3 linked regions of the Arabidopsis thaliana genome follow. The protein of the gene in region 2 interacts with the protein of the main gene of each other region in a pairwise test. Each region holds a gene or a part of one and is shown on either strand. Other genes may lie near its edges. The genes, in order: GATA4, AT5G18450 and BEL10.

Region 1 (3,917 bases), on a different chromosome or scaffold from region 2:
TCAGTATAGTAGTTTCATTCATGTTTTGAGTTTTGTTGTTGTTTTCTTGAGTAGTCTCAATTGACCTCAACATTTTTGCAGTTTCTTGATATTTGAATTTTTGTCTTTCTTTATACATATATTTGATCCTCTTTTTTCTTGGCTTGGTTTAGTTGATAGTTTAAGCGGAAAATTAACCAAATTAGATTAGTTTTGTATGGTATTTCTGGTTCGATATCTTAATGTTAAGACCTTGCTTTGGTTTCTATTAGGATTCGGTCTGTCGGGGTTCTGGATTTGAATAACGGTGACACTATACACCACATTATGGTTCAATTTTCAGATCATTTGTTTGTTCTGTTTCGGTGTTACCGCCTAACCAGTTTAGTTTATTTATAAGAGGTTTAAGCACTTTGTATAAGAGTATTGGTAATTTTTGGTTCAGATGGAATAAAGCGAAAAATTGTTAGATTTGAATAGCCTAAACCAGAGAGAGTTAGGTTTGGTATGGCTTAGGTTACTATTTTTTAAGAAAGTAGTAAACTGAATTGCCTCGTGAAATGCCAAAAACTCAAATTCTCAAGCATGTAACATGTATGATGTATGTATGAAGATTAACCAGCATTGTCATGTGTGATATAACATCATAAGTCACAAAAAGCAGAGTCCATGGTGGTTGAGAAGCTTTTATATCTGAAAAGAGGAAAATTAAATGCCGCCAATGAAATCATTTAATGATATAACTTTAAGGAGAGCCGTGAGACCAATAAACAAAAGCAAGAAAAAAATCAATAGAAATTACCAACAAATTAATTAGCAGAGATTTGCAAACTTTAAACTAATACTGATAATTAAGTCCTTAACCCCTCCCGTCGGTCACGTGATCATCACCGTTAAGATTACGACACGTCACCAAATCACAAAAACCCTTGAAAAGAAAACCCCCAAATTTACTGCGGCTGAAACGGCGGAATTCGAACGCAAGATTCTTGTTGTTCCTTCTGTCGCCGGAGCTCCATAACTTTCCGATGAGAGTTCGAATGCTGAGTCAATACAAACGTCGGACTCGACGCCGGTCTGTATTCCGGTACAAGCCTCCCTGATTTGTAACGAACTCCACAAGCGTTACAAAGTGTTTTAGGTCCAAGCGGTCCAGTTCTCCACTGTGGCGTTTTCTCCGAGGCACAGTGCGTGCACCGCCTCGCTCCATCCGCCGTAACCGATTCAGCGTTGTAGACTTTCTTCGGTTTAGGTTTAGCGACGGAGTGACAAAGCTCTGATTCAGACATCGGAGCCCAAGTTCCAGCTACGGAAGGTGCTGGTGCTCTTGATCGGCGACTTCTAGGTTTTCCGGTGAATGAAATCTCGGGTCTAACGGTCATGGTTAAAGGATTTGCTGGGAAATCGGAGAATGAATCGTCAACGAATCGCGATAACCATTCGAGATGAGCTGCGTCGTCACTCTGCAAAACTCAAAATCAGAACTTAGAAATTCAAAATCAAAATCAAAATTAGGGTAAATTGAAATTTGAAAACGTACGGGAACGCAGAGATCGTGAGTGAAGTCGGTGAGGAGAGTAGGAGAAGTGTAGGTGGAAGAAGGAAAGCTGAAAGGGTTTTCGGAAGAAGCGGCGGAGGAAGCGGCGGAGGAAGTGACGGTGGAAGAGGAAGAGAAGATTTCGTCGTTGGAGAAATCGAGAAGGTCGTCGATACGAAGCAAGTCCGGTGAAGACATGCCGTAGACGTCCATTGTTGACTCGGACTCGCTTACTGAGTATGTATGTGGTCACTGGTTCAGAGGTTTAATATAGAGAGAGAGAATTAGTGTAAGTGAGGAAAGAGACGAAGATGAGAACGTGCATAGAGTTAGCATGCACCGAGACTGACCTGACCACTCCCTTTTTTTCTATTTATTTATCCACTTTAATATATTTGTCTACATTTTTCTTTGAACATGCATGTGCTATTTAATTTACTTACCAGAGGATTAATTAACCATGAATTACATAATGCATATACTAGTCTTTTTTTAAAAACGCATATATTATAGATCGAGCTTATATTCTAAACAAGCATTTTGAAAACATTTCTTTCAAAACAGACACTCTAAACAGTAAAAGCATATAATACTTCAATTTTTATTGTTACGGACATTTTTGCCCTTAAACTATGAACTGGAGTTGAGAATGAGGTGAAAAGAATGTGTTTATCTTCTAAAAATTGTATCCCCATCTCTGATTCAATTTTAAGTTTCTTTTGACATCCAAAGATATATGGCTTAGATAGTGGACTTGCAGCTTCGACGGTAGGCATGAAGCTTTGACGATAGCACAAAGATTTGGTGGTGGTTCACGGCTTTGACAACGAGGGGTAACGAACGGCGTCAATGGTAAACGCTATACCCTAGAATTAGACTTGTAAACCCAAACCGTCAAATATAGAGTATGCAATTCTTACATACACACAATAACACAACACTACAACCATCCTCATTATCATCAAACACCATTAACATGAACAAAAATCAATGTACTTGTAGACATGATTATGAACATCAATTGAGCAATCAACAAAGTATCAATCACTTCTTGAATTCCTTAACCTGCACAAAAATCACTGAACAAAAAAACGTGCAAATCGTAATACTAAATCGTGGGACTTTTTTGTTTCTTGTTTTTTTTTTCCAGATCTCAAAATGTGGGATGTTAAAAATCTAGATCGCATTCACATCTCATGAGGACCGATTGTTAGTCGTCTGAATTTCCAATCGTCGCTGACATCACTCTGTAATCAATGACTCCAAAGTTGTTGGTGTTGGTCGCAAGTATTTTTGATTTCTAGTGTAAAACGTAAAAGTTCATCAACAAAGAAAGAACAACATCATCTCTCTGTAAGGGTAAAAACGACTTTCCCCAGGAAAGAAGTGCCTAAATCTAAAGATCATTTCAAAAGTGCCTAAAATAAAATATATATCTAAGACAAATGCCTTATTTGCAATAAACTCATTATAGATCATAGTCTATAGTTTTATTAATTTAAACAAGTAATGAAGGGGAAATTAAATAAATGCAAGGTTACTAATTTTATTTTTTTCAATAAGCCTCTCTCCCTTTTGTTAATTAAATTCTTCTGCCATCTCCTAAAAAGGTTTTCCGATTTTTTTTCTTAATTTTGTTGAAATTTGTGAGTTGGATCATTTAGTATCCCGTTGAGTTTTTTTTTTTTTTTATGTTTTCTTGTTCAAAGAAAATAAAATAATATTCTCCGGAATGTGTAATCAATCATAGAGTTGAATTTCAACATGACCAAAACAAGGAAATAGAGAACAAAATTGGCTCAACAATTTATTAATACAAAGTGATGCGAATGTATAACTATCTTGTTTCTTGTGCTTACATGAATATTTCGCATTTTGCAATCACACTTACAGAAAAAGAAAGAGACACAGAAGTGGGACTAGCTTCGATCGTTGTAGAATAGAGTGTACACAAGTATCTAATATCATTCTTCAGTAACCTAGCATGTCTTTCACAGGTTTGATTAATAACTAATGTGATAACGTTTAGAAATATCCTTACTACCAGAAGTAACGAAAATTTAGTTTTGATAAAGAGTTGTTTTGACATATTATTTTAAACATTGAAGAGATAACTATAAAAATGTAGTGGGGAATGGGAAAATGGATGGAGACAATGAAGGAGATGAGTCGACCGACGATCCGAAGTGCATTGCACTTTGGTTCTATAAATTCCTATGGCCCTCTTTTTAGGTTTATATATACATATTTTTTCCCTATCATTTATCTTCTTATGTCTCTTTCATGCATTGCTCCTTCATTAATTTATTCAGTTTTTCAACTATACAGAAACTACTCATATATGTACAAACACGCACGGCACATGCATATGATATAAAGAATGGGGAACCAATTGTTGCGA
Region 2 (3,308 bases):
CATGTATGATTGAAACAAAAACAGAGGATTTAATAAGTAGTGGTGTAAAAACAGATACTTCGTGCCGAAGCACCTAATCAATGGTAGAGCCATGTGTTCCGAGTCGTTTGCCAGGCCACCCTCGATCTTGACACCTGGCATATGAACATGACATATTCCATTTTCGCATGTACGTAGACTTATATACTTCGCATTTATTTTGTTGTTTATCTTATATTATTACTCCTATCCAAAAACTAAACGGTGAAACTTATAATCTAAGTAAAACCTCGAAAACGAAAACCTAAGAATCGTATACAAAATCTGTAAGTATTACATATGGATATGACTCGAGCTATTTGGAGTGTGGTTTTATTCAGGTTTGTGTTGTAAATTTGTTAAGAAAAACAGTTTTCGGATGTTTCAAAAAAAAAAAAAAAAAAGAGAAAATAATAAATCAATTAATTATTGTTAAATCTAACATTCACTAAATATATTAATCTTTTTTTAATCAGTTTTTGTTTAAAAACTCACAAAAACTAATTTTAAAAGATATTATTTACATATCATGAAACAGTAGAATATAAATTTTTTGTGTCAGATTATCCATTTTTATATTTTGCATTAGGAAAAATTAATGATGAAAAGTTTATGAATTTTTATTACCGTTCTGAAAATCTTCCACATATATTAGTTTATTTTATATCTTTTAAAATTATAATTTTTTTAATTATGCATGTGTATTTATATATTAGGGAATTACCGTACAATCTCTATAAATTAATAATTGATAAATTAATAAACACGATAAATTAATAAATTTTGTTAGTCCCAAGTCGGACCAATGTAAAAATTAACCAAAATCGATAAGATAATAAGATAATATTTTTTTTTGAAATTTCTATGTAAAATTATAGTCTCAATAATATTATAAATTAATAATTATAGATCTTAAGAATATATTTTAAGACTAATTTTTATATGAAATTTTTGTTCAAATTATAATTACAACTCTTTTTAAAATACAACTCGTATGATTTATGTTTTACTCACATAACTATTTGCATATTTGATTCGTCATAATTGATTTTGTAAAATCTTTTATTTGAGAAAGCATTGGTAAGATTTGTGTAAAGAGAAATTGGATTAAGTTTCATGTTTGTGTTTACGTTCACGTTAATATCGTAGATATACAGATACAATATCTTACCGAAAAATAAATAAAAGAAGTCAAGGAAAAATAAAAATCTGACATAATAATATATGCAAACAACAAATCATATAGAAAATTAAATTAACAGACATTTTTTAAAAATTATAGTATTGTATTTTACGTAAATATTTCTATAAATTAATATTTAATATTTATATAATAAATTATAAATATTAATTTATAAGATAAATTAATATTACTATAAATTAATAAAATTTTATTGGTCCCAACATTATTAATTTATAAAGTTTCTACTCTATATGTTTTAAATAAACAAAAAAATCAAAAAATACATTGGATATATAACATAGTATCTCCTTAATTTTCACTTTTTAAGGAGAGGGGCTTAGAGAGAAACACAAACACGTGAGTCATCATCAAGACAGTGGTCGGGGGTCACTTTCGTGTAACACAGACATTAAATCAAATAAACAAAACGAGAGATCCTTTACCTTAGTGTATACACACAGAACACACGTACACACTCATATTTACATTTGCCACGTAAGAATACGTATACTCCTGACGTGTCCTGTATATATATACACACGCACACTTCAATTTTTCATTCACTAAACCAGATTTAATTTGAGACTCTCAAAGAAACACCATGGAAGAAGAGCAACCTCCGGCCAAGAAACGAAACATGGGGAGATCTAGAAAAGGTTGCATGAAAGGTAAAGGCGGTCCAGAGAACGCCACGTGTACTTTCCGTGGAGTTAGGCAACGGACTTGGGGTAAATGGGTGGCTGAGATCCGTGAGCCTAACCGTGGGACTCGTCTCTGGCTCGGCACGTTTAATACCTCGGTCGAGGCCGCCATGGCTTACGATGAAGCCGCTAAGAAACTCTATGGACACGAGGCTAAACTCAACTTGGTGCACCCACAACAACAACAACAAGTAGTAGTGAACAGAAACTTGTCTTTTTCTGGCCACGGGTCGGGTTCTTGGGCTTATAATAAGAAGCTCGATATGGTTCATGGGTTGGACCTTGGTCTCGGCCAGGCAAGTTGTTCACGAGGTTCTTGCTCAGAGAGATCGAGTTTTCTACAAGAAGATGATGATCATAGTCATAATCGATGTTCGTCTTCAAGTGGTTCGAATCTTTGTTGGTTATTACCTAAACAAAGTGATTCACAAGATCAAGAGACCGTTAATGCTACGACTAGTTATGGCGGTGAAGGCGGTGGTGGCTCTACGTTAACGTTTTCGACCAATTTGAAACCAAAGAATTTGATGAGTCAGAATTATGGATTATACAATGGAGCTTGGTCTAGGTTTCTTGTGGGGCAAGAAAAGAAGACGGAACATGACGTGTCATCGTCGTGTGGATCGTCGGACAACAAGGAGAGTATGTTGGTTCCTAGTTGCGGCGGAGAGAGGATGCATAGGCCGGAGTTGGAAGAGCGAACAGGATATTTGGAAATGGATGATCTTTTGGAGATTGATGATTTAGGTTTGTTGATTGGCAAAAATGGAGATTTCAAGAATTGGTGTTGTGAAGAGTTTCAACATCCATGGAATTGGTTCTGAGAGTTTTTATTTATTACTATTATTTATCATACATATTTCTTATATTTGACTTAGGATTGTTTATTTGTTATACATCAATCGTGGGATTTTTTGTTTTCTCCTTGCATGTAGTGCTTATGTGTGTAAATAGGTTTGGGCATAATGTGAATTTTCTTACACGTTTTGTAAAAACAAATTAATAGAGATGAAGCAAGTTTCGAATGTGACACTATTTTTACTCTCATGTTCCTTGTATCAGATTATTTATCTTACTGTTTCCTGCGGACATATCTTCAAAACGAAAACACATATAGATTAATATCACAAATCCTTATACTGCTCATGTGTCCGGTCTTACAAATTTAAACATCAAACATCTTCATCACATGAGCTATCATCGCCATCCACATCATCGCCATCACTAAGGCCATCACATAAACCTTCAATTGAGGGATCTTCCATAGCATCTTCACAGCCAGTTTCTTTTACTGTAATCAAAGGTAACTTCAGAGGTTGCTCTGGAAACTCCTTCAACAATGAATTCATTACCATGAAGCGGAAGACCTGTAATAACTGGCTTTTGTCTCTCTTTATGTCTGCGCT
Region 3 (5,545 bases), on a different chromosome or scaffold from region 2:
ACTCCTGCAAGTCCCTGAAACCACCCTAAACCTCCAAAATTGTTAACACCATCGGAGAAAGATGAAAATAGATAGATATAGAGATAAGGAGAGAAACTGAGATATCAGACCAGTCTGATTCTTTGAGCTGTTGCGCAAAAAAACCTCCGACGAATCCCATCCCGAGAATGAACATTTGGTTCGGCGATTCTGGATCTGGTGCACCGGATCGAGAATCGTCGGTTGCTGATAATGGCCGGAAAAAGTTGATTCTCCTACGATTTGAAAATTTAAGTGGTGTGGGAGTAAAACGGAAAGGAATCTCCGGTGACAAACTTGGTAACTGAAAAACCGCCATTGAAATCGGAGGACTGAGAGACTCCAAGGTCTGTTGTACTTTAACTGATTCACAGTACAAAGAAACTACGTGCCGTTTTGTTTTCAAAATCAAGGACTGCATTTCGTTTTTACAGTCCAGTGATATATACTATAAAGAATCGTGAAACATTTACCACAAAAGTCTCAAGTTCAGATTTTTTCACACTTGCAAGTATCCTTTATACCACCGTGAATATTATTATACACACATATCAATATTTGGCTTAAGAGTCTACTATACACAAAAGCAACCTACACATCTACTATATAATCCATAGAGAATGGGTGTATTATGCCTAATACTATAAAAATGCAAAAGCACATTTCTTGCGCTTCAAGAATCATCTCCTCTGTACCAAGAAGAACCAGATAATATCACACAACAAAGTCGTGTAAGTGATGGGAATTGGAGAATCTGCTTTCTTGCTGGTTGCTTCCGCTAATGTAACGGTAATCATCAACACCAAACCCGTGATAGTTCATCAGAGTGTCGTAATCCGATGAGCGGTTTATCTGTTGTTGCTGTGGGTCGTTATCATTGCCTAGAACACGATCTGGTTTGGTTTCTGATGAGAAGACAATGTTTGTTGTGTCTGCAGATGAATAAGCGAGGTTGCTGTTGTTGTTGTTCTCTTGCTGCTGCTGCTGCTGCGATGAGGAGTCTTCTTGGTTTGTGCTGTTGGGTTCTTGGGAAGATTTGGAGATTAGTAACTCAGATTCATCACCAAACTCTTCTTTATACATTTCTTCGATCATCGGTTTCCACAGACGAACTCTCGCGTTTATGAACCAATTAGCAACCTAATCATTTAGCAGAGAAACCAGAATTATTCAAGCAGAACACAAAGGGTGCAAATTTTAAGTGAAGACCAAAAGCTTGGTTTATACCTGGTTCTTTGACAATCCTGTCTGCTTTGCAAGCATGATTTTCTCAGATTCTTTCGGATATCTACAAATAAAAAAAACAGAAGAAAAACATAGAGTCTCTCTAAATGTTTTGTACTGGGAGATTGAAAGATTGTGACTTGTGACTTGTGAGAGAAGAAACACTTACGGATGAAGGAAATGTTCAAAGAGCCAAGCGCGAAGAACAGAGACAGAGTTTTCAGGAAGACCTCTTTGAGGTCTCCAAGCAGGTCGAACCATTCCAAGCTGTTGATGCAAAGCTCTTTGCTGTCTCAACCGTTGATCTAAATACCTCAACCTTGGTATCCTCTCTCCTTGTTGCTCATCCAACGACTCTCCTCCTTTCTCCCCAAGTTTTTCTCTAACAATCTGAATTTGTTCCTTTATTGCGTCGCGAAGAGCACGAAAATGGCGAGAGATTCTGTTGAGAGCAACTGATGTGTAAGGCTTAGCTGATCCAAGTCCTGCTACTATCTCAAATGATGAAGCTAATGCTTCCATTTGATGGTAATATTGGTTATATCTTTTATCTACCTGCAACCATTAACACATCCACAACAACCAAATCACCATCAATCCTGTTATAAACCAAAGGTAGTTTTATGAAATGTAAGTTAGTTACCTCATCAACCATTGTTAAAAGCTTGTTCTTCTTGTTCTGAAGCTCTTCACGTTCAATTGTAGATAACTCAATCGATTTCCCATTCGAATCACTCGATAACTCACCACCTCCTCCTTCTATCTCCTTAGAACCACTGTTAAAGTCATTAACTTTCATCTTCTTCTTCCCCATTTGGTTTAGTTCTTTCTTGACACTAACCACTTCATCAAGCAAATTCTGAGCAGGTTTAAGATACCGAGAACGCAGAACGCTGCTCATAAACCCTCCTGATGTCTCATTATACCGATAATTGTTGTAGAAGCCATTCCCACCATTACCAGCATAACCAGAGGAAGGATCAGATTGACCCAACAAGATCATTTCTTTGCTCTTCACACTCATCTCATCCACATGAAACGGTGACGTTTCCTTGACTGAAATTGAAGGATTCTGACTAGTAAACCCCAATTGGTATTGATGAAAGTGAAACGGAGCAACAGAGATCTGAGTACCAAGGCTCAAAGACAGTCCTTGACCATCGTGAAAGCTTAGATCGCTGCTTGAAACGGTACCGTTTCCTGTTACAACGTCTCCTGTGGTGGTTGGTGGGATAAAAACCATCTCGTTTCGAACAGTATCGCCGCCGGTGACGGTGAAAGAAGCGGCGGCGGATGAAGAAGAAGCTTGTTGGTTTTGTTGTTGATGGTTGAGAAAGATTGGTTCTTGCTGGTAACAACCGACATTACTTGTGTAATAAACTGCCATTGGTGTTTACACCTTTTAAAAGTTTTATTACAGTGAGTTCTTAGTTCGATGAGTTTGGTCGGGAAATGAGATCCTGCAAAAAAATAAGAGGAAGAAGAGTCGTGTAAGGTGTGGAATTTTAAAAATTTCTGATGGAATCTAAGAGAGGTTAAAACATCGTAATCATTTCACACCAAACCATTTTTTTTATATATCATACATAAACAGTTTCGAAAGCAACAAACAGAATCGGACCAAATTATTCGGAGGATTAAAGTCAAATTCTTGATAAAAAGCAAATGTTTTTCGTGAAGAACTGAAGAAACCCAGAAAAACCCAATACAGGAATTGTGTAATCGTAGAGGAATACCCGATCTATGGAGGTGAAATTGAGAGGAGAAAAAAACCCTAATTTGAGGTTGGAAAAAAAAATGCAGAGTAAAAAGAAATTGTGTAGCTCAACGTAGTGAGTCAAAAGCAGAGAAGATTCAATTATTACATAAAGAAGTAAAGTGTCTTGATGATTTCATCTCTTGTAGGAGAATTTCCAAAAAGCAAGGGAGAAAAAAAACACAGAAAGTATACAAAAAATAATAATCAAGAAACACAGTACAAGATTAATCATATCAAGAATCAAGAATCAAGAACTTGAATTTTTAAAAACTACCTGAGGGAGAGAATCAAAGTTAAAAGGAAGAAAAAAAACCTAGAGATTGTGTTTGTGAGTGTGGATGTGGCTGAATCAGGAAACACAAAAGCAGAAGAGTTTCGAACAGTTGAAGACAAAAAAAGATTTGAGACCCAATCCCGAGAGAGATAGAGAAAGAGGCGATTAATAATTGCAAAATTCTTAAATAAACAAATTTTTTTCAGTCCACAAGAACAATAAAACCAACCCAACTTATCATTGGGACATTAGACACCAACCCAATTTTTAAAAATATTATTATGCAATATCAACAATAAAATAAAATAATGATCACTACCGGAAAAATTTGACAACCGCTACCTGTAATTTTTAATTTTTTGCGGCAGAAGCTTCTGTTTCTGATGCTTAGAGTAAAGATAAATTAATATGATTTTTTTTGTGTGCCAACCATTCATAGAGAAACACGTGAGAGCTTACAAATCACCAATTTTCTTTTCTTGATTACGTGATAATATTTCTTATGACGACTTTAACATACAAAACTTAACAATTCCACACACACAAATAAATGGATTTTTATAGATGATTGTATTATACTTTAATGATGTTGTGTTGTCATTGACTTGAGACTCATACTACTTTTCCGTATAAGTTAACTAAATACAACCAAAAGAAAAAAGTTGAAGGAATGAGTGTTTATATATGAAAAGTTTAGTATTTGTATATTAAAAAAAAAAACCAAATCTAACTATTTAAACGAAATAATCTATAATGCGTACATTACCATGGTATCGTGGGAAACTTTTAACGACTTCCTGATTTGTGTACGTGAGGCTCCAAAATAGTGAAATTATTACCTGCCACAAATTATAGAGTCTAGATTTGGATTTCAAACTAAAATGTTTTTTTAAACTATTTGTTCTTATCACCTTGCTTTCATCATAAAGTTAAAGTTCGATACATTTTTAATAGAACTTCTTGAGCACTTTGTAGTTCAATATCTTTGAGGTTTTCTTTAAATGTTTGATATAACGGATATACTTTTAGTTATGCATGGTAGCGGAAATTAAACTCCATCAAATAAAACATAGAAACGTCATTATAGGTAGGAATATGAGATTACAAAACTGACCCTGATAAGCTGGTTTAAGGAAGAAGATAAAACAAAGGTGGGTGTGTGTCTGCTCAATTGCTTAATTGATGGATTAAATGACTTAACAACCAGTTGGTGAGTCCCTCCTTACTCTTCTGTTATACCCAATTTTTATTCTAAGTTCTCTTGTCTTTTTATTTCTTTTGTTATAAACCTTTTAGTTATACACTTACATGTTTGTATTTGCATATTCCACAATGAAGAATACGTAAAAGATTATCTTTATAGCTACACTAATAATATAATCCATTTCCTCTGATTTTTAAAATAACAAGTAGTTTCGTTTTGGTTTGTTGGAGATTGGATTTAGAGCAGCCGACACAAAATCATTTGGCAAGTACCATTGTGTTGGAAAATTATTATTCATGTGTTTTGAGTCTTTGAGAGATGATGATATTGACTTTTGTTTCCACGTGGATCTTGATTTATAATGATGATTAAAAATAAATTAATTAGGCAGTTAGCTGGTGAGAGATTGATTAAATCTACTAAAAATTTAGATTATTAATGATGTAATTATTTTTAAAACCGTATGGTTCTGTAAATCATATTTTAAAGTTGAGGATGAATCGATGATGCTAAACGAGGAAAATGTGTGTGAGTAAGAAATGAACAACCTTTGGTTTGGAGGAAAATGTTGAAGTATAATAATTCTTGCCAATTGTCAAATATATTAATTACATGGATATATCCGAAAAAAAACTTTATAATAAATAGCCACAAGTTATGGCCGTGTAACAAAAAGTAAAAGAATTTATTGCCACATACATTGTTGGACCATATATGAAGACGGATCATCACCACTAAAATTCATGTTTGTAACATTTATATTCTATGGATCGAAATCATTATGCTCTCCATTATTAGAACCAAACAAAACCAAACCAAAATTGTATCAGCAAAACTAATCTGAAGCCTAGCTTAGCTTAAGAAAAAAAAAGAATTAAAACCATATAGTATGCATTAACTATCATCATAACTAGTTTAGTTTTAGGCTTTTAGCAAATAGGCCTTTTAAAGCCCATTATAAATATGAAGAGAGGATTCCATCGGGGGCCTGCTGAGAAACGGCAATCAACTTCCTTCTAAATAACAAAAACGGCGTGAATTGCAAACTTCTGCAAAGAGTCAACAC

What was found.
Region 1: the proteins of AT5G18450 (region 2) and GATA4 interact in a two-hybrid assay, tested with the Arabidopsis thaliana proteins (one large-scale study listed by BioGRID).
Region 3: the proteins of AT5G18450 (region 2) and BEL10 interact in a two-hybrid assay, tested with the Arabidopsis thaliana proteins (one large-scale study listed by BioGRID).

What each region holds. Positions count from the first base shown.
Region 1 is NC_003074.8:22,371,160-22,375,076, reverse strand, and holds GATA4 (GATA transcription factor 4), read right to left. Parts: upstream 2,065-3,917; 5' UTR 1,730-2,064; coding exon 1,520-1,729; intron 1,443-1,519; coding exon 930-1,442; 3' UTR 523-929; downstream 1-522. UniProt on the Arabidopsis thaliana protein: Transcriptional activator that specifically binds 5'-GATA-3' or 5'-GAT-3' motifs within gene promoters. May be involved in the regulation of some light-responsive genes.
Region 2 is NC_003076.8:6,115,515-6,118,822, reverse strand, and holds AT5G18450 (Integrase-type DNA-binding superfamily protein), read left to right. Parts: upstream 1-1,781; 5' UTR 1,782-1,802; coding exon 1,803-2,726; 3' UTR 2,727-2,799; downstream 2,800-3,308. Other genes in the region: NUFIP (GATA zinc finger protein), read right to left, coding at 3,075-3,308. UniProt on the Arabidopsis thaliana protein: Transcriptional activator that binds specifically to the DNA sequence 5'-[AG]CCGAC-3'.
Region 3 is NC_003070.9:6,809,226-6,814,770, forward strand, and holds BEL10 (BEL1-like homeodomain 10), read right to left. Parts: upstream 3,839-5,545; 5' UTR 3,618-3,838; intron 3,533-3,617; exon of another isoform or gene 2,979-3,532; intron 2,770-2,978; exon of another isoform or gene 2,703-2,769; 5' UTR 2,630-2,702; coding exon 1,886-2,629; intron 1,798-1,885; coding exon 1,412-1,797; intron 1,307-1,411; coding exon 1,246-1,306; intron 1,159-1,245; coding exon 733-1,158; 3' UTR 540-732; downstream 1-539. Other genes in the region: AT1G19690 (NAD(P)-binding Rossmann-fold superfamily protein), read right to left, coding at 1-25, 111-337.